Linked DNA regions of Sus scrofa. The protein of the gene in region 1 purifies or fractionates together with the protein of each later gene. This does not show direct contact. Links are inferred from orthologs where the notes say so. Each region holds a gene or a part of one and is shown in the gene's direction. Other genes may lie near its edges.

The links.
Region 2: the proteins of EZH2 (region 1) and ARID1A purify together in Homo sapiens (affinity purification with mass spectrometry; 3 studies listed by BioGRID, with this or other methods). This does not show direct contact. The link is inferred for Sus scrofa from reciprocal best matches to the Homo sapiens genes EZH2 and ARID1A.
Region 3: the proteins of EZH2 (region 1) and CHD4 purify together in Homo sapiens (affinity purification with mass spectrometry; 5 studies listed by BioGRID, with this or other methods). This does not show direct contact. The link is inferred for Sus scrofa from reciprocal best matches to the Homo sapiens genes EZH2 and CHD4.
Region 4: the proteins of EZH2 (region 1) and PABPC4 purify together in Homo sapiens (affinity purification with mass spectrometry, with the first as the bait; 3 studies listed by BioGRID). This does not show direct contact. The link is inferred for Sus scrofa from reciprocal best matches to the Homo sapiens genes EZH2 and PABPC4.
Region 5: the proteins of EZH2 (region 1) and PHF19 purify together in Homo sapiens (affinity purification with mass spectrometry; 10 studies listed by BioGRID and IntAct, counting the BioPlex papers as one, with this or other methods). This does not show direct contact. The link is inferred for Sus scrofa from reciprocal best matches to the Homo sapiens genes EZH2 and PHF19.
Region 6: the proteins of EZH2 (region 1) and HMGA1 purify together in Homo sapiens (affinity purification with mass spectrometry; 3 studies listed by BioGRID and IntAct, with this or other methods). This does not show direct contact. The link is inferred for Sus scrofa from reciprocal best matches to the Homo sapiens genes EZH2 and HMGA1.
Region 7: the proteins of EZH2 (region 1) and SMARCA1 purify together in Homo sapiens (affinity purification with mass spectrometry, with the first as the bait; 3 studies listed by BioGRID). This does not show direct contact. The link is inferred for Sus scrofa from reciprocal best matches to the Homo sapiens genes EZH2 and SMARCA1.

The regions. Positions count from the first base shown.
Region 1 is NC_010451.4:109,426,516-109,430,015, forward strand, and holds part of EZH2 (histone-lysine N-methyltransferase EZH2), read left to right. Parts: intron 1-2,324; coding exon 2,325-2,445; intron 2,446-3,067; coding exon 3,068-3,208; intron 3,209-3,500. UniProt on the Homo sapiens protein: Polycomb group (PcG) protein. Catalytic subunit of the PRC2/EED-EZH2 complex, which methylates 'Lys-9' (H3K9me) and 'Lys-27' (H3K27me) of histone H3, leading to transcriptional repression of the affected target gene.
Region 2 is NC_010448.4:84,048,488-84,052,528, forward strand, and holds the start of ARID1A (AT-rich interactive domain-containing protein 1A), read left to right. Parts: upstream 1-1,241; 5' UTR 1,242-1,308; coding exon 1,309-2,448; intron 2,449-4,041. UniProt on the Homo sapiens protein: Involved in transcriptional activation and repression of select genes by chromatin remodeling (alteration of DNA-nucleosome topology).
Region 3 is NC_010447.5:64,102,627-64,105,712, forward strand, and holds the end of CHD4 (chromodomain-helicase-DNA-binding protein 4), read left to right. Parts: intron 1-705; coding exon 706-901; intron 902-1,673; coding exon 1,674-1,837; intron 1,838-2,020; coding exon 2,021-2,038; 3' UTR 2,039-2,586; downstream 2,587-3,086. UniProt on the Homo sapiens protein: ATP-dependent chromatin-remodeling factor that binds and distorts nucleosomal DNA. Acts as a component of the histone deacetylase NuRD complex which participates in the remodeling of chromatin.
Region 4 is NC_010448.4:95,396,651-95,400,770, reverse strand, and holds the start of PABPC4 (polyadenylate-binding protein 4), read left to right. Parts: upstream 1-1,320; 5' UTR 1,321-2,281; coding exon 2,282-2,474; intron 2,475-4,120.
Region 5 is NC_010443.5:260,898,962-260,902,776, reverse strand, and holds the end of PHF19 (PHD finger protein 19), read left to right. Parts: intron 1-888; coding exon 889-1,231; 3' UTR 1,232-3,315; downstream 3,316-3,815.
Region 6 is NC_010449.5:30,319,191-30,323,205, forward strand, and holds the start of HMGA1 (high mobility group protein HMG-I/HMG-Y), read left to right. Parts: upstream 1-1,215; 5' UTR 1,216-1,308; intron 1,309-1,555; 5' UTR 1,556-1,663; intron 1,664-4,015. UniProt on the Homo sapiens protein: HMG-I/Y bind preferentially to the minor groove of A+T rich regions in double-stranded DNA. It is suggested that these proteins could function in nucleosome phasing and in the 3'-end processing of mRNA transcripts.
Region 7 is NC_010461.5:106,077,927-106,081,426, reverse strand, and holds part of SMARCA1 (probable global transcription activator SNF2L1), read left to right. Parts: intron 1-495; coding exon 496-644; intron 645-3,500.

The DNA.
Region 1 (3,500 bases):
GATTTTGGTTTGTGTGGGAAATAACTTTCCTAGTTTAAATGGGATCAGTGCAAGTGAGATGTGATGACAGTGAGACTCATTAGTTGGATAGGAGCTTGAGTCTGAATAGGGCAACATATTAACCCCTGAATTTTCGTTTTATACCCCAGATGTACTTTTTGTCCCAGTTTTCCTTTTCCTTGTTTGTCTGAGGTACTGTTATCTTTATGTACTTTGCAGGTGTCCTAAATTTGATATGTAGGGCTTATTTGCAAATTTTCCCTTTTCTCGAACCCTTTTCTGCTTGCTCCTACTTGACAATTCCCTCTGTGTCTCATGGCCCTTCCTCAGTATCCCCTCCTCCCATAGATTGCAGGCCAGCTGTGGGCACCTCATGCTTTAAATAGTTGCCATGTCCTCCTGTCTTAGCCAGTCCATTCTGTCTATCAGAATTATCTTTCTAAAATTCTGTTTTTAACCAATTCCCCGTTTAAAGGCCTCTTAAGACTCAGATCTATCCTTGTTTTAAATTAATCTCCTTATTTAGATACAGACTTGAGAAACTTGTCTTTATCTATAATTATCTATAATGTCTTTTTAGTTCTTCATTGAAAATTCTCTCACCCAATGAACGTCAGCTTGCTGTCCCTGGTCTTCTTAAATACTGTGTTCTCTCTGAACTTTTCTATGATTGGCTCTTCTTTGCTAAGCTATTACCCTCTTTCTTCCCTGTTGTCTTCCAAACCTTGATATAAACTCATCTGTCATCTTTATTATATTACCACTAGCAGTTGTGATATTAATCTTGTTTATCTTAGTATTGAAATATTTTGTTGCTGTGGATTGTTTTATGAATAGGAGTAAATTCTTTTGACATAAACTTTATTTATTTATTTGCTTTTTAGGGCCACGCCTGTGGCATGTGGAAGTTTCCAGGCTAGGGGTCTAATCTGAGCTGTGTCTGAAACCTATACCATAGCTCACAGCAATGCTAGATCTTTAACTCACTGAGCAAGACCAGGGATCAAACCTGCAAACTCATGGATACTAGTCAGATTTGTTTCTGCTGAGCCACAACAGGAACTCCCTGACATAAACTCTAATGGACCATCAATACTTGGTTTTACATTTCTAGAATTTTATTATATTAAATGATTCTTATGAATAAGATCGTCAAGTGAAGTTTGGAGATCCTTACTTAATGTTAGCTTTTTTTTCTTTTTAAAAAAATTATTATTTTTGTCTTTTTACGGCTGCACCTGCGACATATGGACATTTCCAGGCCAGGAGTCGAGTCGGAGCCGCATCTGCGATCTACACCACAGCTCACGGCAATGCCAGATCCTTAACTCATTGAGTGAGGCCAGGGATCAAACCCATGTCCTCATGGATCCTACTCGAGTTCATTAACCCCTGAGCCACGATGGGAACTCCTAGAATTATTATTACTTTTATGGCCGCATCCACGCATATGGAAGTTCCCCGGCCAGGGATTGAATCCAAGCTGCATCTGTGCTTATGCCACATCTGCAGCAATGCCAGATCCCTTAAACCAATGTGCCAAGCAGGGGATTGAACCCAGGCCTCCGCAGGGACTTGGAGGGACTCGGATTCTTAACCCACTGCACCATAGTGGGAACTCCTTTTTTTTTTTTTTTTTTCTTTTTTTGTATGGTTATTTTTAGTTGATTTAGTTATGTTTCATTGATCCTAAGACAATTTTTTTTTTTTTTTGGCTTTTTTAGGGCCATATCTGTGGCATATGGAAGTTTCCAGGCTAGGGGTCAAATTGGAGCTGCAGCTGCCAGCCGCAGCCACAGCAGTGCCAGATCCCAGCCATGTTTGTGACCTCCACCACAGCTCACGGCAACGCTGGATCTTTAACCCACTGAGGCCAGGGATCGAACCCGCATCCTCATGGATATTTGTTGGGTTCTTAATTCCCTGAGCCACAATGGGAACTCCAGAGACACTTTTAAATAAAAATGTATCTAAGAATTGATGATGGGTCATATTGTAATTTGCAGCATTTTTTCATTTCTTAGAGGTACATAAAATAATGATTGTAATGATTGATGACATACTACATTAGGTAATACAATATTTTTTCTTAAAACTTTTTCACCTGTAAACAGTTTGTTTTCTCAGATATGCTTATTGATGAGGGGGGGCCTTTCATTTGTAGCTTTTAAAGTTTGTTGTCTATTTTTAGCTCTGAAGTACTGGGTACAGACATCTACTTATGAAAAAATGTTATTGTATTTTAGTTATATTACATTTTCCCTTAAAAATTTTTTGATACTTAAGATAAGCCTGCTGTTTAAATCTATTTTTTTTACTTTTAGGTAGAAGATGAAACTGTTTTACATAACATTCCTTATATGGGGGATGAAGTTTTAGACCAGGATGGGACTTTTATTGAAGAACTAATTAAAAACTATGATGGGAAAGTACATGGGGATAGAGGTGAGTATTGTGTTTATTCCCTTGGAAAAGGGGTCAAAGAATTGATATTTTGATTTTTTGGGGGAAATGTAGTTATGAAAAAGATTTTTTTTAATATTAAAATTGCTGGACTGTCCTGGGTTTGCCAGCCTAAGATTCCTTAGCAATAAAATTAATTAGGAATAGGGCTTTGTTTATGTGACATGCTCAAAAATACCTTCCTGACTAGGCACCTTGCAGGACCTGAAATTCTGCTAATAGAGTCACAGCTTCTGTAATTTAACTGAAGAACCCTGTTAAAGTGCCTGGCAGGAGGGTCAGATGTGTAACCTCCTCATCCGTTACCATCATGAGCAAATAGACAGCAAGGTCTGTCAAGATACATTGTTTGGAGAAAAAAGGCCATAGTTAGGTTCTAGAGAAATAGGCTGTTGTAGCAGGCTCTGAAAACTTGTGAAAATGAAAAGTGTTGTTAAATTCTACTTCTTACTTTGCCTCAATGCAGTCCTGAAAATGATCTTGCCCCTACACTTTAATATTAATGTTATAGTGCTAATTGGTAGGCTCCAGCTGTTTCTACCAAAGTAGAAAAGGAACATGAAAACCCTTGTATATTTCTGATACTTGACCTGATGAATTTCAGAATGTGGGTTTATAAATGATGAAATTTTTGTGGAGCTGGTGAATGCTCTTGGTCAATACAATGACGATGATGATGACGATGATGGAGATGATCCTGATGAAAGAGAAGAAAAGCAGAAAGATCTAGAGGAGAACCGAGAAGGTACGTCTATCTGTTAGGTTTGTGTGCAGCCATTAGAGCATTTTTCAAAAACCGTGGAACACAGATAAACCTTCCGTCCTTTTTTTAAAATTTTTTTGGTTAAATATCACCTCAGTGGTAGGATAATCAAAATTAGGATATTTTTTGTAGCATTTAATCCTGCACTTCTACATCCTTATTTCCCTTGGCTAGCGAAAGGACATAGGAGTTGTGGGTTTCCCTGGACAGTCATCATAATCATTATATATGCAATGTATTGATCATTTGATGATGTACAAGTAGTATGCTCATC
Region 2 (4,041 bases), on another chromosome or scaffold:
AAGTCTTAAGATTCTGTAAAATGGGGATAATGGACCTCATGCCCCCAGGGCCTTGTGAGGACCAGCTAATGAGGGCAGAGGAGTGGGAAAACTGAACGTCTGAAACAGTGATCTGTCATTTCATGCAGGTTGCAAAGGGGATAAAAATGTAAGGCTCAGCTGGGTCTTTGGAGCGGGTTTGCAAAAGGCTTTGAAGAAGCAAAGTGCTGTAGAGGTGCTAAGTAGCAGCCAAGAGACCAGGCTGGCTGCCAGGGGGTCAGGCCCGGGCCGAGGCGGCCGCGGTCTCGGGCTCAGGCCAATTTTGCAGCCGCGAGTAAAGTTCACACTGCCCGCTCACCTCCGCGCGGCCTGGAAGGGACCGACCCGGAGAAGGAGGAACGCCGGGAGGGAGGCGACACAGGCTCCGGAGAGGCGTGAGCTCCGGGCCGGGTTTTCCCCGAAGCTTCGGCGGCGGCGCTGCCGAGCGAAAGCGGCAGAGGGCCTGCCGTCGCCGCGGCTGGTTCTCTCCCCTCCTCCTTTGTAAGGGGAAGGGAGCGAGTCCGTTCCACGGCCTGCGCCCGCTCCGCGCTCCGTTCCGGGTTTGCCAGGAGGCCGCGACGGCGCTGGGTAAAATGGCAGTGCTGAGCCTCGTGTCGGAGTGAGGGGGACTCGGAGGAGAGTGGGGCGCTCTAGCCGCTCACTCCGGCCGCCCGCCCGCTCGCTCGCCCGCTGCCGCGCAGCAGCCTCAGCCCGCGCCGAGGCCGGGGAGGGGAGGCAGGACGCCCGGCCCGGCCCACGCTCCGACTCTGCCTCCCGGCGCCGGGGCTGCTGCCGCGCGCCCTCAAGCCCGCCCGTCCCGGGTCCCCCTCCCCCCGCTCCCTCCCTCCCCGCCCCCCTCCCCCTCGCCTCCCTCCCTCCCCTCCCTCCCTCCTCCTTTCTCCGGCAGCAGAAAGCGGAGAGTCACAGCGGGGCCAGGCCCTGGGGAGCGGAGCCTCCACCGCCCCCCTCATTCCCAGGCAAGGGCTTGGGGGGAATGAGCCGGGAGAGCCGGGTCCCGAGCCTACAGAGCCGGGAGCAGCTGAGCCGCCGGCGCCTCGGCCGCCGCCGCCGCCGCCTCCTCCTCCTCCGCCGCCGCCAGCCCGGAGCCTGAGCCGGCGGGGCGGGGGGGAGAGGAGCGAGCGAGCGAGCGCAGCGCAGCAGCGGAGCCCCGCGAGGCCCGCCCGGGCGGGTGGGGAGGGCAGCCCGGGGGACTCGGCCCCGGGGCGGGGTGGGAGGGGGGAGAAGACGAAGACAGGGCCGGGTCTCTCCGCGGACGAGACAGCGGGGATCATGGCCGCGCAGGTCGCCCCCGCCGCCGCCAGCAACCTGGGCAACCCGCCGCCGCCGCCCTCGGAGCTGAAGAAAGCGGAGCAGCAGCAGCGGGAGGAGGCGGGGGGCGAGGCGGCGGCGGCAGCGGCCGAGCGCGGGGAAATGAAGGCAGCCGCCGGGCAGGAAAGCGAGGGCCCCGCCGTGGGGCCGCCGCAGCCACTGGGAAAGGAGCTGCAGGACGGGGCCGAGAGCAATGGGGGTGGCGGCGGCGGCGGCGGCGGAGCCGGCGGTGGCGGCGGCGGGCCCGGTGCGGAGCCGGACCTGAAGAACTCGAACGGGAACGCGGGCCCTAGGCCCGCCCTGAACAATAACCTCACGGAGCCGCCCGGCGGCGGCGGTGGCGGCAGCAGCGATGGGGTGGGGGCGCCTCCTCACTCAGCGGCGGCCGCCTTGCCGCCCCCAGCCTACGGCTTCGGGCAACCCTACGGCCGGAGCCCGTCTGCCGTCGCCGCCGCGGCGGCCGCCGTCTTCCACCAACAACATGGCGGACAACAAAGCCCTGGCCTGGCAGCGCTGCAGAGCGGCGGCGGCGGGGGCCTGGAGCCCTACGCGGGGCCCCAGCAGAACTCGCACGACCACGGCTTCCCCAACCACCAGTACAACTCCTACTACCCCAACCGCAGCGCCTACCCCCCGCCCCCCCAGGCCTACGCGCTGAGCTCCCCGAGAGGTGGCACTCCGGGCTCCGGCGCGGCGGCGGCCGCCGGCTCCAAGCCGCCTCCCTCCTCCAGCGCCTCCGCCTCCTCGTCGTCTTCGTCCTTCGCTCAGCAGCGCTTCGGGGCCATGGGGGGAGGCGGCCCCTCAGCGGCCGGAGGGGGAACCCCCCAACCCACCGCCACCCCCACCCTCAACCAACTGCTCACGTCGCCCAGCTCGGCCCGGGGCTACCAGGGCTACCCTGGGGGCGACTACGGCGGCGGGCCCCAGGACGGAGGCGCGGGCAAGGGCCCGGCGGACATGGCCTCGCAGTGCTGGGGGGCTGCTGCTGCTGCCGCGGCTGTGGCGGCCGCCTCGGGAGGGGCCCAACAAAGGAGCCACCACGCGCCCATGAGCCCTGGGAGCAGCGGCGGCGGGGGGCAGCCGCTCGCCCGGACCCCGCAGGTACATGGCTGAGAGGGGAGGGGGCTGGGGCGAACGGGGTCCTGGGAGTGGGTGGCAGCTGCGGGGAGCAGGCCCGAGCCGTGGGTTACCCCCAGTCCGAGGCCCCCACTGCTGGGGAGCTGCCATTGTCTGGCTCTTCTCTCTTAAAATGGCTGCCTGTCTGCCTTCCTCTCTTTCCCTCCCTTCAGCCTTTGTGTGGGGCTTTCCCAGAAGTGTCTGCTTCCCTTCTCCCTCTACCCTGGTCCCTTCCAGCTCCGGGGGTCTTCAAGGGGGTGCGGGGCAGAGTGTGCAGGAAAGGGCCCAGCCCGAGGTGAGGGGGTGTTGGGGGGTCAGGATAGGGTGTAGGCAGTGCTAGGAGCTCGGGAGTTGGGTGAACAGTTTCTTGCTCACCTGCTGCTCTTCTCTGCCCGCCCCCCCCACCTTCCTCTGGGCCGTCCCCTAAGTGTGCTTTCGAGGAGGGGCCCCTCGGGCTCGGGGGACCTCGAGGTTGGGCAGGGGCCTGCTTGGGGGCAGCTAGAGGCCGGCTGCGGTTCACCCAGGGCAGCCCGGGCCGTCTCCTGTCTTAGTCTCTGTCCGCCCAGTGGCCTGGGCTTCTCCCTGGAAGTGCTGGTAAACAGCTGAGTGATTGGAGTAGTAAGTGCAGATTGCTTTGGTTTGGGATTTGAATTATGGAGGTAAAATCCTTCTGTCAAAGCCAGGAGACAGTTGGTCTTAGGTTGACATCCTATCTGTGATCTGATTGGCTCCCCATCTCCTGCTCTTGGCCATTTATAATTGCCTCTGATGTAATGGTACAACAATCCTGATGAGCTCATAAACTTTTACACTCTGCTTTTCTGCCAGTGATAACCCAAACCATCGCTGCCACTATCTGCTTTTTATTCCAGAGCTGAAATTGGCTGTGACCTTGAGGAGGGAGGTTTAAGCAGCAATACTGTATCAGCAGGAGCAGAGCCCCAGACAGGCTGCCCTTGTTACATTGTGCCTGAAACAAAAGAGGAGGCAGTGGCATTTTGCTTGTACCTTGGATTTATTTTGCTTGTTATGTTTTATGCAGCCTGAAATAGATTCTGTGTTGTCAGAACACTAGCTGAGTTTTTCTCTACAATGGGTTTGCTGTTTGTTTTGGTTTTGTGACTTTCCTGATGGTATAAATGACTTCTTTGATGGCTCTGAAGATGTGTTTGTCTTGAGTAATTTTGACCCTGTTCGCTTTGCAGAATTGAAATTATTTTACTGAGCTTCTTATTGAGTGGCAAATGTGGGATCTTTATCCGAGGGGGTAGGAGAAAACTTTCTGAGAACTGGAAGCTTTCTGAGAGAATTTCATATTCAAGTGTTCTGTTTTAAGGGAGGCTGGCCTCGTTCTTTGTTTACGTGTTGAATCTTGTTAACACTTTCTTTTGTTAATTGAACTTTGGGAGAGCAGCTCAATTTAAAGGGAAGCTGACATCTTTCCTTGATGAAGATGGTCTTGAGAAGAGGGACTATCTCCTAAAGGCTTGGTTTGGTGAGATTTATCATTTGTTCCTGGAATATCAAAAAGACTAGTTTTCTGTTTTGTCATCGGTCGTTTTAGAGTTTTGAAATAGA
Region 3 (3,086 bases), on another chromosome or scaffold:
CCGAACCCGCAACCTCATGGTTCCTAGTCGGATTCGTTCACCACTGCGCCACGACGGGAACTCCCGGATCTTTTTTTTATATACATTTTATTTTTTTTATTTTTTATTTTTTTGTCCTTTTGCTATTTCTTTGGGTCGCTCCCGCAGCACATGGAGGTTCCCAGGCCAGGGGTCCAATCGGAGCTGTAGCCGCCAGCCTACGCCAGAGCCCCAGCAACGCGGGATCCGAGCCGCGTCTGCAACCTACACCACAGCTCACAGCAACGCCGGATCATTAACCCACGGAGCAAGGGCAGGGACCAAACCCGCAACCTCATGGTTCCTAGTCGGATTCGTTAACCACCGCGCCACGACGGGAACTCCAAATACATAGGATCTTAATACATAAAAAAATAAATATAAGGAAACACATCAAATGTTAACTGTTTTTAGGAGGTAGAATTGTGATTTTGATGCTTTATACATTCTGTATTTTCTAAATTGAGTTTTTATCATTTTTGTGTAAAAGTGAATCAGTAAGATAACTTAAAAAACTTGGACCACCAAAGAGGGATAAAAAAGCCAATGTAATGTTGAATTGGTGTTGAACACCAGTTCAGGTGTGAGGGAGCCATTCCTAAGGTTCTTCACAGGTTCTCAGAGGCCCGTCAGAATTAAGCCAAGTGAATTATCATTCCAATGCCCATCTCTTTATCCCTTGTCCAGCTCTTAGAACAAGCCCTGGTGATTGAGGAACAGCTGCGTCGGGCAGCTTACCTGAACATGTCAGAGGACCCCTCCCACCCTTCCATGGCCCTGAACACCCGCTTTGCTGAGGTGGAGTGTTTGGCGGAGAGTCATCAGCACCTGTCCAAGGAGTCAATGGCAGGAAACAAGCCAGCCAATGCGGTCCTGCACAAAGGTAGCCAGTGGCTCCCCTGCCTCCTGCTGACTTAGCCTCCTTCTTTCTCTGTCCCTCCCCAACACATTTGGGGAGCTTTGCCTTCCTCCTCAGGAAGCTAATATCTCACAGGCAATCAAGGACAGTAGTTCTTTGCCTCTTAACTTCTTGAATATACTCAGCTTTTTGGAGAGGTGGAGAGCAACCCAGAATAATACATAGTGTTATCTGGGCTACTTTAGAGGTAACTTCAGGTTATTTACGATCTTGTGCTTTCTAGACCCCCTTTCAACATCCTGTTTCTAATTAAAGGTAAGACATTGTGAGGGGGTGGAGGGTGAAATGAGGAAAAGGCAGCTGTTATAAAGGAAGAGGGAGACAGCTCCAAAAGTGGAGAGGAAAGAAATAGGAATAGCTATTTAAGAAGTGGCGGAGTTCCCTGGTGGCCTAGTGGTTAAAGATTTGGTGTTGTCACTGCTGTGGCATGGTTCTCTCCCTGGCCTGGAAGCTTTTGCATGCTGCAGGCACAGTCAAGAAAAAATAAAAGTGATGGAGATAGAGACAGGGATCAAGAGACAGAGGTAACTTTAAAACATAGAATCATGGACACTTGGAATTGGAATATGAGGAATAGGAATTTGAGCGTGGTGGAGCCAGGTCAGGTGACTGACAAGACAGCACTCCAGCACGTCACTTGATCATTGAGAAGTGATGGGAAAGCCGGTCCACATATTATAAGATGGGCCTAGGTCTTGACCACCACGGCTCACCGCCTTTTTTCCCCCCCATGCAGTTCTGAAACAGCTAGAAGAACTGCTGAGTGACATGAAAGCCGATGTGACTCGACTCCCAGCTACTATTGCCCGAATTCCCCCAGTTGCTGTGAGGCTACAGATGTCCGAGCGTAACATTCTCAGCCGCCTGGCAAACCGGGCACCTGAACCGACTCCACAGCAGGTATAGGACCATTTTCCTCTGGCCATCTGTTCCAGCAGAGCCACTCTGGAACTTGTAACGTTGCTGTCTGTCCCTGGCTTTACACATTGGGCAGGTGGGGCTGGTCCACCAGTGAGTTCCTTTGGGGTCAGGAGGGTTCCTGGGGTCTGACATTCTGACCCTCTTGGCTCTCTCTTTCTCTAGGTAGCCCAGCAGCAGTGAAGATCCAGATGGATGATACCACGTCCACCGCTGAGCAGTGACCTTCCTCACTTTCCCTTGCCCAGCTTCTCCCCTGGGGGCCTGAGAGACCCTCTCCTCCCTTCTGCCCCATCTTCCAAGCTGTAGAGGAACAGCCCCCAGTGCACTGGGGGAGGGGAGGGAGTGAGGGGCAGTGGTGCCCTTCCTGCTGGAGAGACATGCAGCAGTAGCGCCGGCGCCATCTGCAGGGAGCTGGCGGGCTGGCCTTTTGGGCCCTGGCTTCTCCCCACTGTAACGTCTGTTACACACAAACTGTTGTGGGTTCCCGCCAGGCTTGAAGAAAATGATCTGAATTTCTTCCTCCTTTTGGTTTTATTTTGTTGGTTTATTTTGTGTTTTCATTTCTCCTTTTTGGGGGGTATTCACAGTGGGCCGGGCCCCTGGGCGAGACACAGCTACCTCTGTTGGCATCTTTTTAATACCAGGAACCCAGCGGCTCCAGCCCCTGAGCGGCTAGAATGAAATAAAGTTGGAAAAAAAAAAAAAAAAAAAAAGGAAAAGAACCAAAAGCATAAAAAACCACAGCAAATTTCTTGACAAAAATTGAAAATAAAAGTTTCCTTGTATTTTAGTGCTCTGGTTCAGTGTGGGTGTAGGTGCAGGTGGGTGTGTCCGACGGGAGCCTTGGGACAGTGCAGCTGAAGACCAAGGGTTTCCTTGTGTCCTGAGACTCCACGAAATCTGGACTGTGCACCTACCCTCGTGCTCCGGCCGCCACCACCTGCACGCTGCGAGGAGCTCCGGAGCCCCCTGGGTTCACAGCCTAAGCCTGACTCCCAGCTTCGCGGCCGTCTCCAGGCTGTAGATGTCTGCTGTAGAGAATCAAAGGAGAATCTTCCTCGCAACATTGCGAAGACAAACCAGCGAAGTGCCGGAGCAGTTTTGAACAGCTGCTAAGCACCACCTTAGGGTTTATTTCAAGAAAGGCTGCTCTGGGTTTTCTGTTTGTGTGAAGTGAGAACACAAGATGCCGTCCTCCCGACCTCTCGTATGGGAACCAAGGCAGAGA
Region 4 (4,120 bases), on another chromosome or scaffold:
AGTCAGATTCCTTTCCACTGAGCTGCATGGGAACTCTAGGAGAAATATTTTTAAAATTTAGAGTCTAGACCCTCACTCCTTTTTTTTTTCTTTTTTATCTTTTTGCCATTTCTTGAGTCACTCCTGAGGCATATGGAGGTTCCCATCCTATGGGTCGAATTGGAGCTGTAGCTGCCGGCCTATACCACAGCCACAGCAACACAGGATCCGAGCTGCGTCTGCGACCTACACCACAGCTCATGGCAACACCGGATCCTTAACCCACTGAGCAAGGCCAGGGATCGAACCCTCAACCTCATGATTCCTAGTCAGATTCATTAACCACTGAGCCATAACGGAAACTCTGATCCTCACTCACTTTTACAGAGAAACAGAACTTTTGTTTTGGCCACGCCCTGGCAGCATGTGGACATTCTCAGGCCAGGCATCTAAACTGCCACAGTTGTGATTGGCGCCACAGCTGCCATAATGTCTCATCCTTAACCTACTGCACCATAAGGGAACTTCCCAGGACATTTTTTTTTTTCTTTTTAGGGCCACACCTGTGGCATATGGAAGTTCCCGAGCTAGTGGTCCAAACGGAGTTGTAGCTGCCGGCCTATAACACAGCCACAGCAACACAGGATCTGAGCTGCATCTGACAGCAGCTTGTAGCACAGTTGGATCCTTAACTCATTGAGCAGGCCAGGGACTGAACCCGAATCCCCATTGATACTGGTGGGGTTCCTTACCACTGAGCCACAATGACACTCCCCAGAACATATTTTAACATGAACTAAATTCCAGGGATACCACTACCATGTAAATAGAAGGATGACTGTATTTTGTTTAATTGAAGCTCTCCCAAAATTTGTTCATCTTTCTGGGGAATCCCATCACCAGCTACTACTGCATTGGTAGCTGTCCTATTTGGGATGATTCCATCTTTAGGATCTAGTTTTCTAAAAACTTCAGAAAGTCTTCTTGATTTGGGCCCAATTGTTTACATAGCGGAGCACCTATTACATGACTATAATTTATTTTGTGTCTTCTTTATTTTACAGTTAGGCAAAACATTGATTATAATCATGATGCATGTGAGTGGGTCACACTATCCATGTGTTCTAGTCCCGGAGAGGCGGGTGGCTTACACTCTACCGATTCCACCAGCAGCAGGCAAAGCTACCCTTGGGTCCGGCGGAGGCCCCAGCGGGGCGGTCCTCCGCGCGCCAGGGGTCGCTGTGGCGCCGCGCGGCCGAGCCGGACGCTCTCGCGTGGCCGCCCCGCCTCGGGCCCCCGGGCCGAGTGGGCGGGCACGACTGCGCCCAGGTCGCAAGGCGCCCTTCGACCAGCAGCGCCCGGGGCGGGCGGGTATAAATGGAGCGGTGGCTCCCCCAGCCGCCTCTCTCCGCCCCGGGTCGCCGTAGCCTTCGTCGCTTTCGGGCCTAGCAGCCTGAAGAAAAAAAGAGAAAAAGATAAAAAAAACCCGAAAACGCTTTAAAACCTTAAAAAAAAAAAAAAAAAGAAAAAGGAAAGAAAGAAAGAAAAAAAAGCGAATCCTCCTCGGAGAACCCGCGGGGAAGTCACTTTTGCGCGCTTCCGGCCTGCCCGCCGCCGCACCTGGGCGTCCGTCGGTCCCAGTCCGTCGGTCAGGTGGTGAGCCGCCCGCGCGCCCGCGTCCACGCGCCTCCGCCCGCGCCCGGCCGCGCCGCGTGGCAGCCCCGCGCCCGCCGCCCTCGCCCCCTGCGCCCCGGCCTCCGCGCACCACGTGTCCGCGCTGCCCTTCGCCGGCCCGGCGTGGGAGGCGGCTGCGCGCTCCGGCCGCCCGGGGCTTGCCGAGTCGGCACCGACAAATATTTGGTTTCCCTCGTCCCCGGGCTGCTGTAATCTTAAACCGCCTGGAGCCGGAGGCCTATATTTATAGAGAAACGTGTGTCCCGGAGGCCGCTGTGGGCACCATTGGGTTGCCTCTAGAAGAATTTTTGTAATTTGGAGGGGATTCCCCGTTTTAATTTTTTTGCTTGGGTTGAAATTGGGAGCTTCGGACCAGGACAGCTGAAAATTACAAACTCCCAGGGAGGGCCATATTGTTTTTGAGAGCCTTTTGTCTGCGGTTTGGCAGTCTCCGGGCCGTCCCCGAACTCCTTTCTTGGGCCCTTGGAGCCCACTCCAGCTTCCCTGAGCTTCACTGCCACCTGTGAGCCGCGGCGCGGGCCACGGCTCGGAGCAGAGCCCCTTTTGTCCTGAGCGGGCCCTCTAAGAAGTCCTCCTGGCGGGGCTCGGGGTGGTGGGGGCTGGGGAGATGAACGCTGCGGCCAGCAGCTACCCCATGGCCTCCCTGTACGTGGGTGACCTGCACTCGGACGTCACCGAGGCCATGCTGTACGAAAAGTTCAGTCCTGCGGGGCCTGTGCTGTCCATCCGGGTCTGCCGCGATATGATCACCCGCCGCTCCCTGGGTTATGCCTACGTCAACTTCCAGCAGCCGGCTGACGGTGAGTAGAAGCTGTGGCCACAAATTCGTGGGCTCTGGAGGGACCCTGGGGGTCCTTCTCCATCCAGGTCCCCACCCCCCGTGGAGGGGGCTTTGCGACAGCCCGTGGCCACGGAAGCCATGGTGGGGGACAGGATGCAGGGGGTGGAGAAGACGGATTCCTGGCATCAGATGAATCCCAATCTTGTTTCCACCACTTGCTAACTGGGTGACCTTGGGCTTACAGTTGGGGGGGGGGGTAGGAGCCCAAGGAGGTTGTAAAGGGGACCTGAGGGAAGTTGCTGTCATTCCATGCGTGTGGTGGGGACTGCTCCGTTAGAGACCCTTGCCTGGTCACTGGCTGGGGCTCCTGCAGAAAGAGCAGGATGGATGATTGAAACACAATTCCTTCAAAAATTTGAGGTGGCAAAGCTGCTGCCCCCTCCCCTCACTTTATCCTGGGCTAAGAGTCTTCGATTCTGTGCTGATAAGCAGTCTTTCAGGGCAGGTAGGAAGCAGGGGGACAGTTTTGTGTGTTGGACTTGAGCAGGCACTTGTGCTAGCACTACCAGAACTGCATGTGCCAGGCCAGCTCCCTGGGCTGTGTTTTTGCCACTGGGGTGGAGGACTTCTTTTCCTGGACCAGCCCTGGGCTCTGGAAGAAGGTGTGCAGGTAGTCCCGCGAAGCTCTGTTTGGAAATCTGCTATTTTGGTGGGGATTATCGCCTCACCTGTGAATAGTCCTTTAAAGTTGTCATAACCCTTTTACTTCATCCCATGTGAAGAAACTAGGACTTCTGAGGAGGAAAAGGAGCTACAAAAGGTTGGAGGCTGAGCTGGGACTGGGTGCAGTTCTCTGCCAGCCCTGATTGGGGCCTGAGCCTGGAGCGCGGAGAGGAGAGGTATGCTGCGGGCCTGTTGGGAGTGAGGCCAGAGGAAACCCAATCAGGGCCACACGTGACTCCAGAATAAAAGGGAACAACTGTAGAGACCATCACTGGGAGAAATAAGCCATTCTATGGCAGAGGATCTCCAGGTCTCTATTTTTGTCCCCACTTTGTTCACTGTCCCTGAAGCACAGAGAATGTCACTTGCCCAAGATGCAGTTGAAACCAGAGAATCGGACTTGTTGAAGAGACACCAGGCACTGCTCGGGTCAGTTCAGTGAGCTCTGAGTTGTGTCTGGCCACAGCACAGAGAAGGTGCCTGAGAGCAGCCTTTTTAGGGGGGAGTAGTGGGCACGTTGGCTTGTTGTCTGCCTCCTTGAATCTTCTGCACGAAAGTCCTGTCACTTGGTGATAGTAGCAGAAGCCATTGGTTAGTGTGTCTGCCAACACATACCTCTGCAGGACCTCTCCCTGCTATAAATAAGTGCAGCCAGATTTGTCAGGCTAAGCCGACTTGCCTTGTGCAGCACTGTCTGGAAATAGACCGGAGCTGGGTTGAAATGGGCTCCTTTGCTGCTAATTCATGAAACAGTTTGGGGTCCCAGGCTGGGGCTCGTAGAGTCATCACAAATGAGCCCTTCTGTGTCGGACTTTCCCTGACCTCTCTTCTCACTGAAGGAGCCCCCCTGAGGAAAGTGGGAAAGCTGGTTGGGAAGAGTGAAAAAGGAGATACTCTTCTGGCTGACTGGAGGGGCAGAATTAGGGAGGTGTGTCTGTGTTT
Region 5 (3,815 bases), on another chromosome or scaffold:
TTCAGGCCACTCCTCTTTGCCTGCTTGCAGGTTATGTGGTTTCTTGCTGGGCAATTTCAGATATTTCATTCTGAGGTTCTTGGCCTCTGCTTGCCATGATTTTGCAATGTCTGTGCCTTTGGCTATAGGTCCTCTGACCCTGATAGAGGGAAGAGGGCATCCTGCAAAGTGTAGGGTCTGGGAGAGGGGCCAGAAATCCCTGGGGGATCTAGCTAAGGGTATGTACAGCCTGCTTGGCAATAAGTAGTCGTAGGCAGCATGGGGAGGATGGTGGCACAAAGCACACAGACAAGTTCTAGATGGAGGCTCCTTTACCTGTATTGTAGGATACTTGAGGCCCTGGCAAAAGTAGGATGAAAAGTATGCCTACTGAAGGGTCTTGTCTCCAACTATCTCTAAGTGTCTCTGCTGTTGCCTCTACATTTCCCTTTCTCTTTGGCTCTGTTTCTAAGCATCTGTGAATGCATACCTCTTCTTGTGTGTTTCTCTTCCTCCTCTGCCTCTTTCTGTCCCTGTGGGGTTGTGGGGAGACACACACATCTGTCTCCATTCCAGGTTGCCACGCCTGTGACTCCTCTAGTGACACAGGAGTCCAGGTGAGGGGCAGAGAGGGCAGGCAGGGCCTCTGCACCGCATGGCTTCAAGCGGCAGAGAACCACGCCTCTGGACTTGTGGGATGCTAAGCTCCTCAAAGAGAACATGGTTTTGGAGGTGGACACCCCTAGGTCTGCACCCAGCCCTGCCACCCCCCAGCTGGTGGTTTCTCCTCGGGAGCCTCCTCAGGGCTGCTGTGAGGATCCAGTGAGATAATCTGTGGCCAGGGACAGGGACTTGTGAGGAGAACCCCATTGCACTCCTGTCTTCCTCCCCCTTCCTCTTCTGATGCAGACGGACAGTGGGCAGCCGCAAGAGGAAGCTGGCAGCCAAAGCATACATGCCACTGCGGGCAAAGCGGCGGGCGGCTGAGCTGGGTGGATGCTGCCCCTCGGACAGCAGTGCAGAGGGGGCCTCGGGCCCTGAGCGGCCAGACGAGGGCATCGACAGCCACACGTTCGAGAGCATCAGTGAAGATGACTCATCCTTGTCCCACCTCAAGTCATCCATCACCAACTATTTTGGCGCGGCTGGGCGGTTAGCCTGTGGGGAGAAGTACCAGGTGTTGGCTCGCAGGGTCACGCCTGAGGGCAAGGTTCAGTACCTGGTGGAGTGGGAAGGGACCACCCCTTACTGACCAGCCCCAGGGGATGCCAGGAACCCTGGAAACCAAAGGAGAGACAGTGGAAGCCCCAGGCTCCCTAGTTCTCTCCAGGCTGGGGTGAGGGAGGGAAGCAGGGCAGAGCTGCAAGTGCCTGGCCAAAGCCCCGCCTGCCTGCCTCCCTGCCAGGCCCGGGCTGTGCCCCTCCTGCTCTTGGCCACCTCTGGCTCACCCCCCTCTGCCTGCGTCTGAGGTCTCGCTGGCTACTTCTTGGTGTCTACACACACTTCCTCAGACTGTTACCTGTTCCTCTGATTTAGTGTCCTGCTGGCTCTGTGGCCTGTTGAGGCCTGAGTCCTTGTCCCCAGTGTGTCCCTTTACCTCTCTTTCCCCTTTTGGGTGTGTTGTGTCTATACACCCAACCCTCCACTGGATGTCCTTCACACCTGACCCATCCCAGGGACCACACACGCCGGAAATCTAAGAAAGGCTGGGTGAAGATGGGTAAGTGGAGGCCCCGAGGAGCCCATTTCCCATTTTCCTGTCCCTCCTCTGCCCTGCGGAAGAGGGGGTGAGGGTGGGAGGCCTCTGGAGGCGGTGTGGCAGAGACTCTGAGACCTCAGGTTCTGAGTGATCAGGAGGCACCAGCACCAGAGCCCCGTTATTAAGACTTAAAAACGAAGGCTGTGGTTGTCAGCTTCCGAGATCCACAAAAGTTCTCCCCCCTCCTGCTACATCCCTTGTTACGTGAGGCTGGCCCTGAGCTTGCAAACCTGAGGGCTGAGAGGAAGTAGAATGAAAGGGAGCTTGTCCTGCTACACCTGAGACTGTCTCCTCTGCCTCCAACCCCCAGACCCCAGCAACACACACACCAACTTCCAACCAGGTGTGTGTTTTCACCTCCAGGTGCATACACACCACACACATAACCCCACATTCCTTTGAGTGCCAGCCTGGCTCCTGCCCCTGGTTTTCCTTTGGCCCTCTCCTAGGGCCATGTGCTATAACTAAATGTGAAAGTCTGGCTCCTGCCCGTGAACCAGCTTTGACCCTAGAGGGAAGCACAGGGGACTCTTACCCTCTTCCTTATTCCCCTGCCCCGCCCTGAAACTGACAATCATTTTTGGGGGCAGGTTAGGATTTTTTTTTTAAGGGCTTGAGTCACTCAGTCCCCTCAAAGGGAAGTCTTTGTTAGTAGGAGTATAAACAGTTCTTAGAACTGACATTAAAACTCAGACCCATGTGTAGGAAGACCAAAACTGGGAGGGGGAGGAGACCCCTGATTTTTTGCTGCTTCCAGAGGTATTAGAAACTGATTCAATTGATTTGAAAATGGAAAGAAGTGCCTTGACTAGGGGAGGATGTGCCAGATGGGGACCAGCTTGGCTGGGTTCTGGAGGCTGCCAGCTGCAAGGTGAAGGTGGATGAACAAGGGGTGGGAACAGGCCTGGAGCTTTTTTTTTTTTTTTCTCCATTATTTGGCTGACCCCCCCCCCATCTCTGAGCATCCAAGGGGTCCCTGAAATAGCTCAGGTGCCCCTTGCCTCAAACCTCAGCTCAAACAGTGCCTTTCAACTGGGACCTCACTTCCTCTACACAGCCCCCCCACTTCCCTCTGCTCCCCAGCATGGTCCAGGCAGGGATAAGCTGATTGGGCCCAGTTCTCTCCCTTCTCAGCCCCCCAGCTGCTGCCACTGAAGCCCCCCATCTGGAGCCAAGTGGAAGGGAGCTGAGAAGCTAGCCCCCAGCCCAGCTGGGGTGTGGGATCAGATCCACCCAGTGGCCTCCTGCCTGGCTCAACAGCACAGCAACCTCCCAGGCCTGCTTTCCAGGCTTCTGAGGAAGTGTAGGATGAGCACAGCTTGTTGAAGCAGGCTTCAGAGGCTCTGGGCTTGAAGAGAAGGAGGAAGACAGTGTCTTCCCCACGTGGAGGTCTGCATAAGGCCTGGCAAGGTCACCCTGACCCCACCACACCCCAGCATTTTGTTCATACCTGATAATAGCTGCATTACTGCCAACTGACCTTATCATAACCCTGTGCACCTTTGAAAAGATTTATCGTTTTGAATTGCTGCTTCTAATAACATTTGTTATATTAAAATTATAATTAATGTGTCTGATTTACAATTTTAAAAGGCTTCCTCTAAAAAACTGCCTGTCATTCCCCTAGTGAACTATCAGTTGTTGGGTACCAGGAGGAGGAATTAGCTCCAGTTTCCTGGAAGGTGAGGAGCATGGCAGGCCCATCCTCTCTCTGGCTAGCTACTGTGCCACTTCTACCCCCACCTACCCACATTCTCTCAGCAACATTCTTACCCCTACTGCCGGAAGGACATGAAACTTTTCTTCTACTGTACCTGACCTGTGTGGGCAAAAAACATTAGCTCAGGGCCACAGAGAGCGGTTAAAGATGGGGACTGAACTTAAGCATCTTCCTATAGTCAGGTTCTAAGTAGAGGCAATATAAAACTTGACGTGGTGGCACAGGCACACAGCTGTAGAAATCTGCAGTGCGTTCCTGGCCGGCTGTCCTGCTCAGAACCTGCACCACTTGGTCAGGTTCCTTTGTTTCAGTTCCTAATCCTTCACATGTCAGGAGAGAATCCCTGCTGTATTCAGC
Region 6 (4,015 bases), on another chromosome or scaffold:
CGGCCCCTCTGGTTCCCCACCCCGCCTCCACGCCGCGCTCAGGGTTTTCCTGGCGTTCCCCCTCCGCCGCCGGCTCGCCCCCTGAGGAGGGGGCTGGGCCGGGGCCTCGGCCGACCCGGGAGGAAGAAGGGGAGCAAAGAAAAACATGAGTCACAGCCGTGTGTCACTGGGCCGCGTTGCAATTCCCTGCCTCACGGGAGGTGTGGAAGGCCGCCTCGGGGATCAGGGGCGGGGAGGTGCGCCCGAGGAGCCCCCGGCCCGGCCTGCAGGGTGCGCCTCTGACAGCGCCCTTTCTTCTCCCACCGCCCTCCCCGCCATCTTCCCACTTTGGTTTCCTTCTCGTTCGTGCAACAAGTCTTTGTTGCGCCGGGCGGGCCAGGCGTGGCGGGTACCGCGTGCGTAGACCCAGTCCCTGCCCTCAAAGCGCTTCCACGCGACCACCGGCTCCCGCTATTTTAAAAATGAGTCACGGCGGAAGGAGCCAGGGCACCAAGTAGGACCGCTTGTCTCCCAAACACCATCCGGGTCACCTAAAGGAATGACTCCTTCAGGTTTGCCTGCAAACGAGCCAATCGTTTGCCTCGCTTTTAGGGCTGCACCTTGATTGTGGTTCACTCGGGCCCATTAAAAAATTTAAACTCTGGATTTCACAAGTTTCACGTGTCAATTTCACAAGGCCCCTATTTCACCAGCCAGCCAAACGCGGATTGGCCCCGAAATGCACAGGCTGACACCTGTCCGCCCAGGGGAAATCTAGGAGCCGCGTATCTGGGCGAAGGTGGCAGCGGGTAGGCCGCGGAATTCTCCAGCCTGCGCGATTCTCTCCACCCTTGCCACCCGCGCACGTCCACGCGCCCCTGGCCCACACGCCCGGCAGGCCCCTAGAGGTGACTCTCCCCGGGACACCGTTTCCACGAGTGAGGACGCCCTCCCCCGGCAATGGGCTCCTTGGTGATTCCTCTCAACAGCTCCCCACGTCTCCCGGCCCGGGTCCGTGAAGACTGGGCCGTGGCCTCGGGTTCGCAGCCCAGGCCTCCCGCGCGCCCGCCCCCAGACGCCCAGCACCGCACGCCCCTCCCCGCAGTCAGCACCCACCCGCGCGACGGCGGCTGGCTGGCGGCCGCCCTTTTAAATCTCCGGGCTCATTTGCATGGTCCCGCCCCCCTCAGTGACACGGCTGGCGCGGGCGGGCCCGTCCCCCCTGCCCCTGGGTCGCTCTTTTTAAGCTCCCCTGAGCCGGGGCTGCGCTCCTCTAATTGGGACTCCGAGTCCGGGCTATTTCTGGCCCTGGCGCGGCTCCAAGAAGGCGTGAGTTCGCGGCCCCTTCGGTGGCTTCTTTTTTTTTATATCTATCATTTAATTAAATTATTTATTTATTGAGGCCGCGCACGGGCCGTGCCTAGCTTCCTGCCCCTCGCCATCCTTCGGGGGAGGGGGAATATTTTTGTCCTCCTGCCTGGATGTGACATATAAATACCCCGCGGGGGCCTGGGCGGCGAGCACGCGGCGGCGGCGGCGGTCTCTTGAGCGCCTCTGCTCTCTCTCCCGGTTTCAGATCCGCATTTGCTACCAGCGGCGGCGGAGCCAGGCCGGTCCTCAGCGCCCAGCACCGTCGCTCCCGGCAGCCCGGAGCGCGCACCGCAGGCCGGCGGCCGAGCTCGCGGTGAGTCGTCCCCGGGGCCCGCGGCGGCGGCGGCGGAGGGGGGCGCCCGCGCCCCCGCTGCACGCCGCCCCTCCTGCGAGCCGCCCGGGGCTGCAGCGCGCGCCTCCGGCTTTATTCCCAGGCCGGGGCTGCGCGAGCCGCCGGCGGGGGAGGGCCGCGGGGGCGGGCGGCTGGGCCCGGCGGCGCGGGGCGGGCGCCCGCACCCCTTCCCCCGCGCCGCGGGCGCCCTGCGGGGGGCGGGGACCCGGGAAAGGCGCGCGGTGGGGGAGGGGGGGCGCGCGGCTGCGGCGAGCGCGAGTTCTGCACCCGGCAGAGCCCGGTGCACCTCGCGCGGCCGCCGCTCCCGCCCGAGCCCGAGCCGGGGCCCGGGATGTTGGGGGCGGGGAGAGGAACAGGCTGCGGCGCCGCAGGAGAGTGGGGGGCCGGGCGCCCCCCGCAGCCTTGGGAAGTTCTAGAAGTGAGGCGGATAGGCAGGAACCCCGCAATTCGGCCTAACTCCAGTTCGGCCTTACTCCGCAGATGAGGCCGAATCGTAGGGAAGGGGGGTTGGGGCTTCACCCCGACCCCACCTCTGGCCCGGCCCGCGCCTCTTCAGCCCCCAGGGCCCGGCCTGCCCTCCGCCCCCACAAACTGGTTTCTCTGCTTTGCTGGGCTCTGTTGGAACTAGTCCCTTTGACTCCCCGTTTCCATTTTTTTTTTTTCTGGGGCTTTTATTTTGCGGGGAGGGCGCAGAGGGTGGTGGCTTTCTTCCTCTCTGCGCGCGCCAGGTTTCCTGCCCCAAGGCGGGCTTGGGTGCCCCCTCTGGCAGGAAGTGGGGCCGGGTGCACCCGCGTGGCGGTGCATGCAGTCGGGGTGCACCGATTTCCCGCGCCTGCAAGAGCGGCCTGTGCCCCTCCCCCCGCGCGCGCTGGCCCCTCGTCCCGCCGGCCCATCTGCAACCGCCGGGCGCAGACACTTGCAGAGTCACCCTGGGCCAAGGTCTGGAGCAGGGGCCACAGGGACTTAGCCAGCCCCCCGAGGGGTGAGGAAAGCGGCGGGCTAGGAGTGTCGCTGGGAACCCATTCCATCCTGCTGGCCAACTTGCTCCGTGACCTTGGGCAACTCAGCAGCCCTCTCTGGGCTACTTTTTTGGGGAAAACAAGGTAGTTCCAGGCTGGTTTCCTAGGGTCATTCCTGCAGATGGCCCTGGCATTTGTGGAGCCCACATTGCCAGCACAGTGTGTAGGGAGGACAAGCTGGAGGCTGGAAAGGCCTTAATGTAAATCAGTAAGGATTTAAGGAAGGATCGAGGTTGGGCCCTAAACGTGGCTTCACCAAGCCAGGCCTCTCTGATGTTCAGAAACAGGTGGAAGAGACAGAGCATTTGTCGGTCTCACCAGAGAGGGCCTCAGGCCTTCCTTCAGTTTCCTGGAAGCCTCCATCTGGGGTGGGGGCGAGTGGATTAAAGGGTCCCCAGCAGCAAGAGGTGGGGGGAAGCACCAGATGATGCAAGAGCTTCCAGGGACACCCACCAGGATCCCCAGGCAGGCCGGCCCAGCCTTGCTGGGATTAGGGGCTGGCTTCGCCCAACTGGAACCCCCTCTGAGGGGGCCTTCAGCAGACCTCATGTGAGGTCAGCACTCATTTAGCTGATTAATTTTGATGTTTAGTTCTGAAGGGGGTCCTGTGGTGTAATATAAGATTCTAATCACTGCCTGTAATTACAGAGCAGGCCAAGCCACTAATGATGGAGCAGGGTAAATCACCAACCACCTTGTTTAAAAGGGTCTTCAAGTCTTGAAATATTATAAAATAGAATAATTACCAGACAAAGTCTCACCGTCTGGAGCATTTCGAATCTTGAGGATCTGGGCCTTGGGCCCTGTGAAAATCACGAGTTTGCAAAAACGGTTTTTCCTCTCATTGGGTTAAAATTGGAAATTGTCTGAATCTGAAAAGGGGGAAGAAGTCATTTTCAAATGTTGGCCTTCTCGTTTTGATTGGAGTGAAGATTTCCCTTGTTTAAGAACTTTTAACTTCTACTTGGTTTGACCTGCAGTCTGGAGAGGGAGTTGAGGCAGGTGCATTATCGTTCCCCCCGTTTGACAGATTGAAGGGTTTTCAGAAGTGGAGCCATTTGGGCCCACCCTTCGCCAAGGCCAGGAAGAGATTGGTTATCAAGGAGGTGTGGGACCATAGGCCTCCCTAAGACACATCTATCTGTAACTGGGGCTAACTGGGAGGATAGGGATGGGGGTTGGAGTCGGGAGGACCCTCACTGTCCTTTCTTAGCCTCTGGAAGAGACTCCCAAACCAAGGGAGATTTTAGGTAAACTCCGCTAGTAGAGCTGATTAAGCCTAAACAGGCCTCTA
Region 7 (3,500 bases), on another chromosome or scaffold:
TCTGTCCTTCCGTGTTTTAACTGAATTTTTTTTTTTTTTTTTTGGTCATCTTAAGGCCGCACCTGCAGCATATGGAGGTTCCCAGGCTAGGAATCTAAGTGGAGCTACAGCTGCTGGCCCTACACCATAGCCACAGCAACGCCAGATCCGAGCTGTGTCTACACCACAGCTCATGGCAATGCCAGATCCTTAACCCACTGAGTGAGGCCAGGGATCGAACTCAATTCCTTATGGATACTAGTCGGGTTCGTTAACTGCTGAGGCATGACTGGAACTCCTTAACTGAATTTTATAGAAGGATATTCATATTGATATAGAAGGTATGGTAGAAGAAAACCTTGCAAGGTTGTTCATTAAAAATTTACTTGAAAGCTCACTAATTTTCTGTTCTAAAGCTTTACTTATGGTTAAATGTACTAGTGTCTGATAAAACTATTATGCTATGCTCTCTTTGGTATATCATTGAATATATGCAACTTTTATTTTTATTGTTAGGAAGACTCATCGACCAACAGTCTAACAAGATGGCAAAAGAAGAAATGCTGCAAATGATACGTCATGGAGCCACCCATGTTTTTGCTTCTAAAGAAAGTGAGCTGACAGATGAAGACATTACAACTCTTCTGGAAAGAGGGGAAAGGAAGGTTAGTTAAAACGGCAGTTCATGATGGATTGCTTTAAAATTAACACACTTCAGCATGATTATTGTATTGTGTTATTTCAAATGCATGTTTCAAACTGCATATTTCAAGTGACTCATGCTCTTCCTAAGAATTTGTGGATTTATGTACAAGGGTAATTACTTTTTTTTAGTTTAATTTTTGGTGAGAAAGACTAAGAACCAGAGTTTAAAAATGAGTGACCTTATATCTGACACTTTTAATGTTGGTATTTATTCTTCTTAAAAGCCAGATAAATTTTGTGTTTGATCACATGTATCAGGACTTCACTTGTTTGTTTGTTTGTTTGTTTTTCTTTTTAGGGCTGTACCTGTGGCATATGGAAGTTCCCAGGCTAGGGGTCGAATTGGAGCTGTAGCTGCCAGCCTACGCCACAGCCACAGCAATGCCAGATCTGTGTTGCATCTGAGAGTTACAACATATATTACAGTCCCTTAACCTACTGAGTAAGGCCAGGGATTGAACCCAAACCTCATGGATGCTAGTTGGGGGTTCCTTTTTTTTTTTTTTTTTGTCAGAGCTGTACCCATGGCATATGGAAATTCTCAGGTGTTGAATTGGAGCTATAGCTGCCGGCATATGCCACAGCCGCAACGCACAATGCTGGATCTAAGCTGCATCTGTGACCTCCACTGCAGCTTATGGCAATGCTAGATCCTTAACCCACAGAGTAGGGCCAGGGATTGAACCTGCATCCTCACGGGTACTAGTTAAGTTCATTACCACTGAGCCACAATGGGAGCTCCACTAGTTGGGTTCTTAACCCAATGAGCCACAATAGGTAATCCAGGACTGCATTTCTATGACTTTTTTTTTTCATGGGATTAGAAATTATCTGCTGATACATTGTGTTAACTGAAAACCTTTTGTGAACATTTTGTGAATTATTTGTTAAAGTATATTTTGTATTTGTTAAAGTATGTTTGTATTTGTTAAAGCATTATTTGTTAAAGTATAATAAGCTGTTTTAGAATATTACAGTTTTGTGATGAATTTACCTTTTTCACGAATTATGGATAATTTCAAACTAAGCAAAAGTAGACAGAATAGTGTGATGAACCTCCATGTACTTAATACTATTTCCAACAAACATCAACCAGCCCTGCTCCATTTACACCCCCAGTTCCATGGATTTCTAAAAAATAACTTTCGAAACACAATCATTAAGGGACTCTCCCACCTGAAAAGTTCCAGTAATTCTTTAACATCAAATTCCAGTTGGTATTCAGATTTCCAGTTATCTCAGAAGTAGCTTGCTTTTAAAAAAATAGGGCTATATGTAGGGTCCATACATTGCCATTGGTGGATACGTTATCTGTATCTTTTTAATTTATTTTTGATTTTTGATTTTTTTTAGGGCTTCACTTGCTGCATATGGAAATTCCCAGGCCAGGGGTTGAATTGGAGCTGCAGCTGCTGGCCTACGCCATAGCCACAGCAATACTGGATCGGAGCCGTGTCTGCGACCTATGCTGCAGCTTGCAGCAATGCCAGATCCTTAACCTGCTGAGTGAGATTAGGGATCAAACCTGCTTCCTTGTGGATACTAGTCAGGTTCTTAACCCGCCTGAGCCACAGGAACTCCTGTATCTTTTTTAACCTGTAGGTTCTTCGTCCGTTTATATATTATTTCCCTTGTAATTTATTTGGTGAAGGAACTAGATTGTTTGCCTTCCGAGTTGCTCACAGTTTGGATTTTGCTCCTTCCATCCCCATGGGGTATTTTATCATGTATGTCACTTATTTGCTGTATTTTCTGTAAATTGGTTGAATTTTTACTTTCAGACTATTTTTTGTTTCTGATGATATATATATATATATATATAAATATATTCATATGTACCACATCCATATATTTACAGTATATCCCCAGGACTTATTTATTTTATAACTATTCACCTGCACCCCACTCCTGGCAACCAACCGATCTGTTCTCTATATCTGTGAGTTTGGTTTTCTTTTTTTCTTTTTAGATTCCAAATATTAGTGAGATCATATGGTATTTCTCTTCCTCTAACTTATTTAGCATAACCACCTCAAGGTCCATCCATGTTGTCACAGATGGCAGGATTTCCTTCCCTCTTACGGCTGAGTGGTATTTCACTGTATACATTATACACCACGTTTTCTCTATCCATTCACTCATCGATGGATGCTTAGGTTGTTTCCATGTCTTGGCTGTTGTAAATAATGCTGCAACAAACGTGGGGGTGCGGGTATATTTTGGGAGTTCGTGTCTTGATTTCCTTCAGATTAATACCCAGGAGTGGAATTGCTGCCTCATACAGTAGCTTTATTTTTAATTTTTTAAGGAACCCCCATACTGTTTTCCAATCCCACCGAATGTATAAGGATTTCCTTTTCTACAAATCCTCACCAACACTTATTATTTCTTGCCTTTTTGATAATAGCTATTCTAACAGGTCGAGGTGATATCTCATTGTGGCTTTGATTTGCATTTCCCATGATTAGTGACATTGAGCACTTTTTCATGTATCTGCGATCATATGTTGAATTTTGAGCAATCTTGTGTGTGTTTCATGTTAGCATGCAATATGTGTTGTTTAATCCAAGTGTGCCTTTATTTTAGCATTAGCCATTTGTCCCATTAAAATTATGCCACAGAAATTATAATATGGCTATATCCTCAATAATAAAAGATTTTAAAGAAAGCCTAAGTGAGAACACTTCAGAAGAATCATTTAAGTATTTAGAATACTTGGGGCTGGAGTTGCTGCTGTGGTGCAGTGGGTTAAGGATCAGGCATTGCCGTAGCTGTGGTGTAGGTAGCAGCTACGGCTTGGATTCGATCCTTGGCCT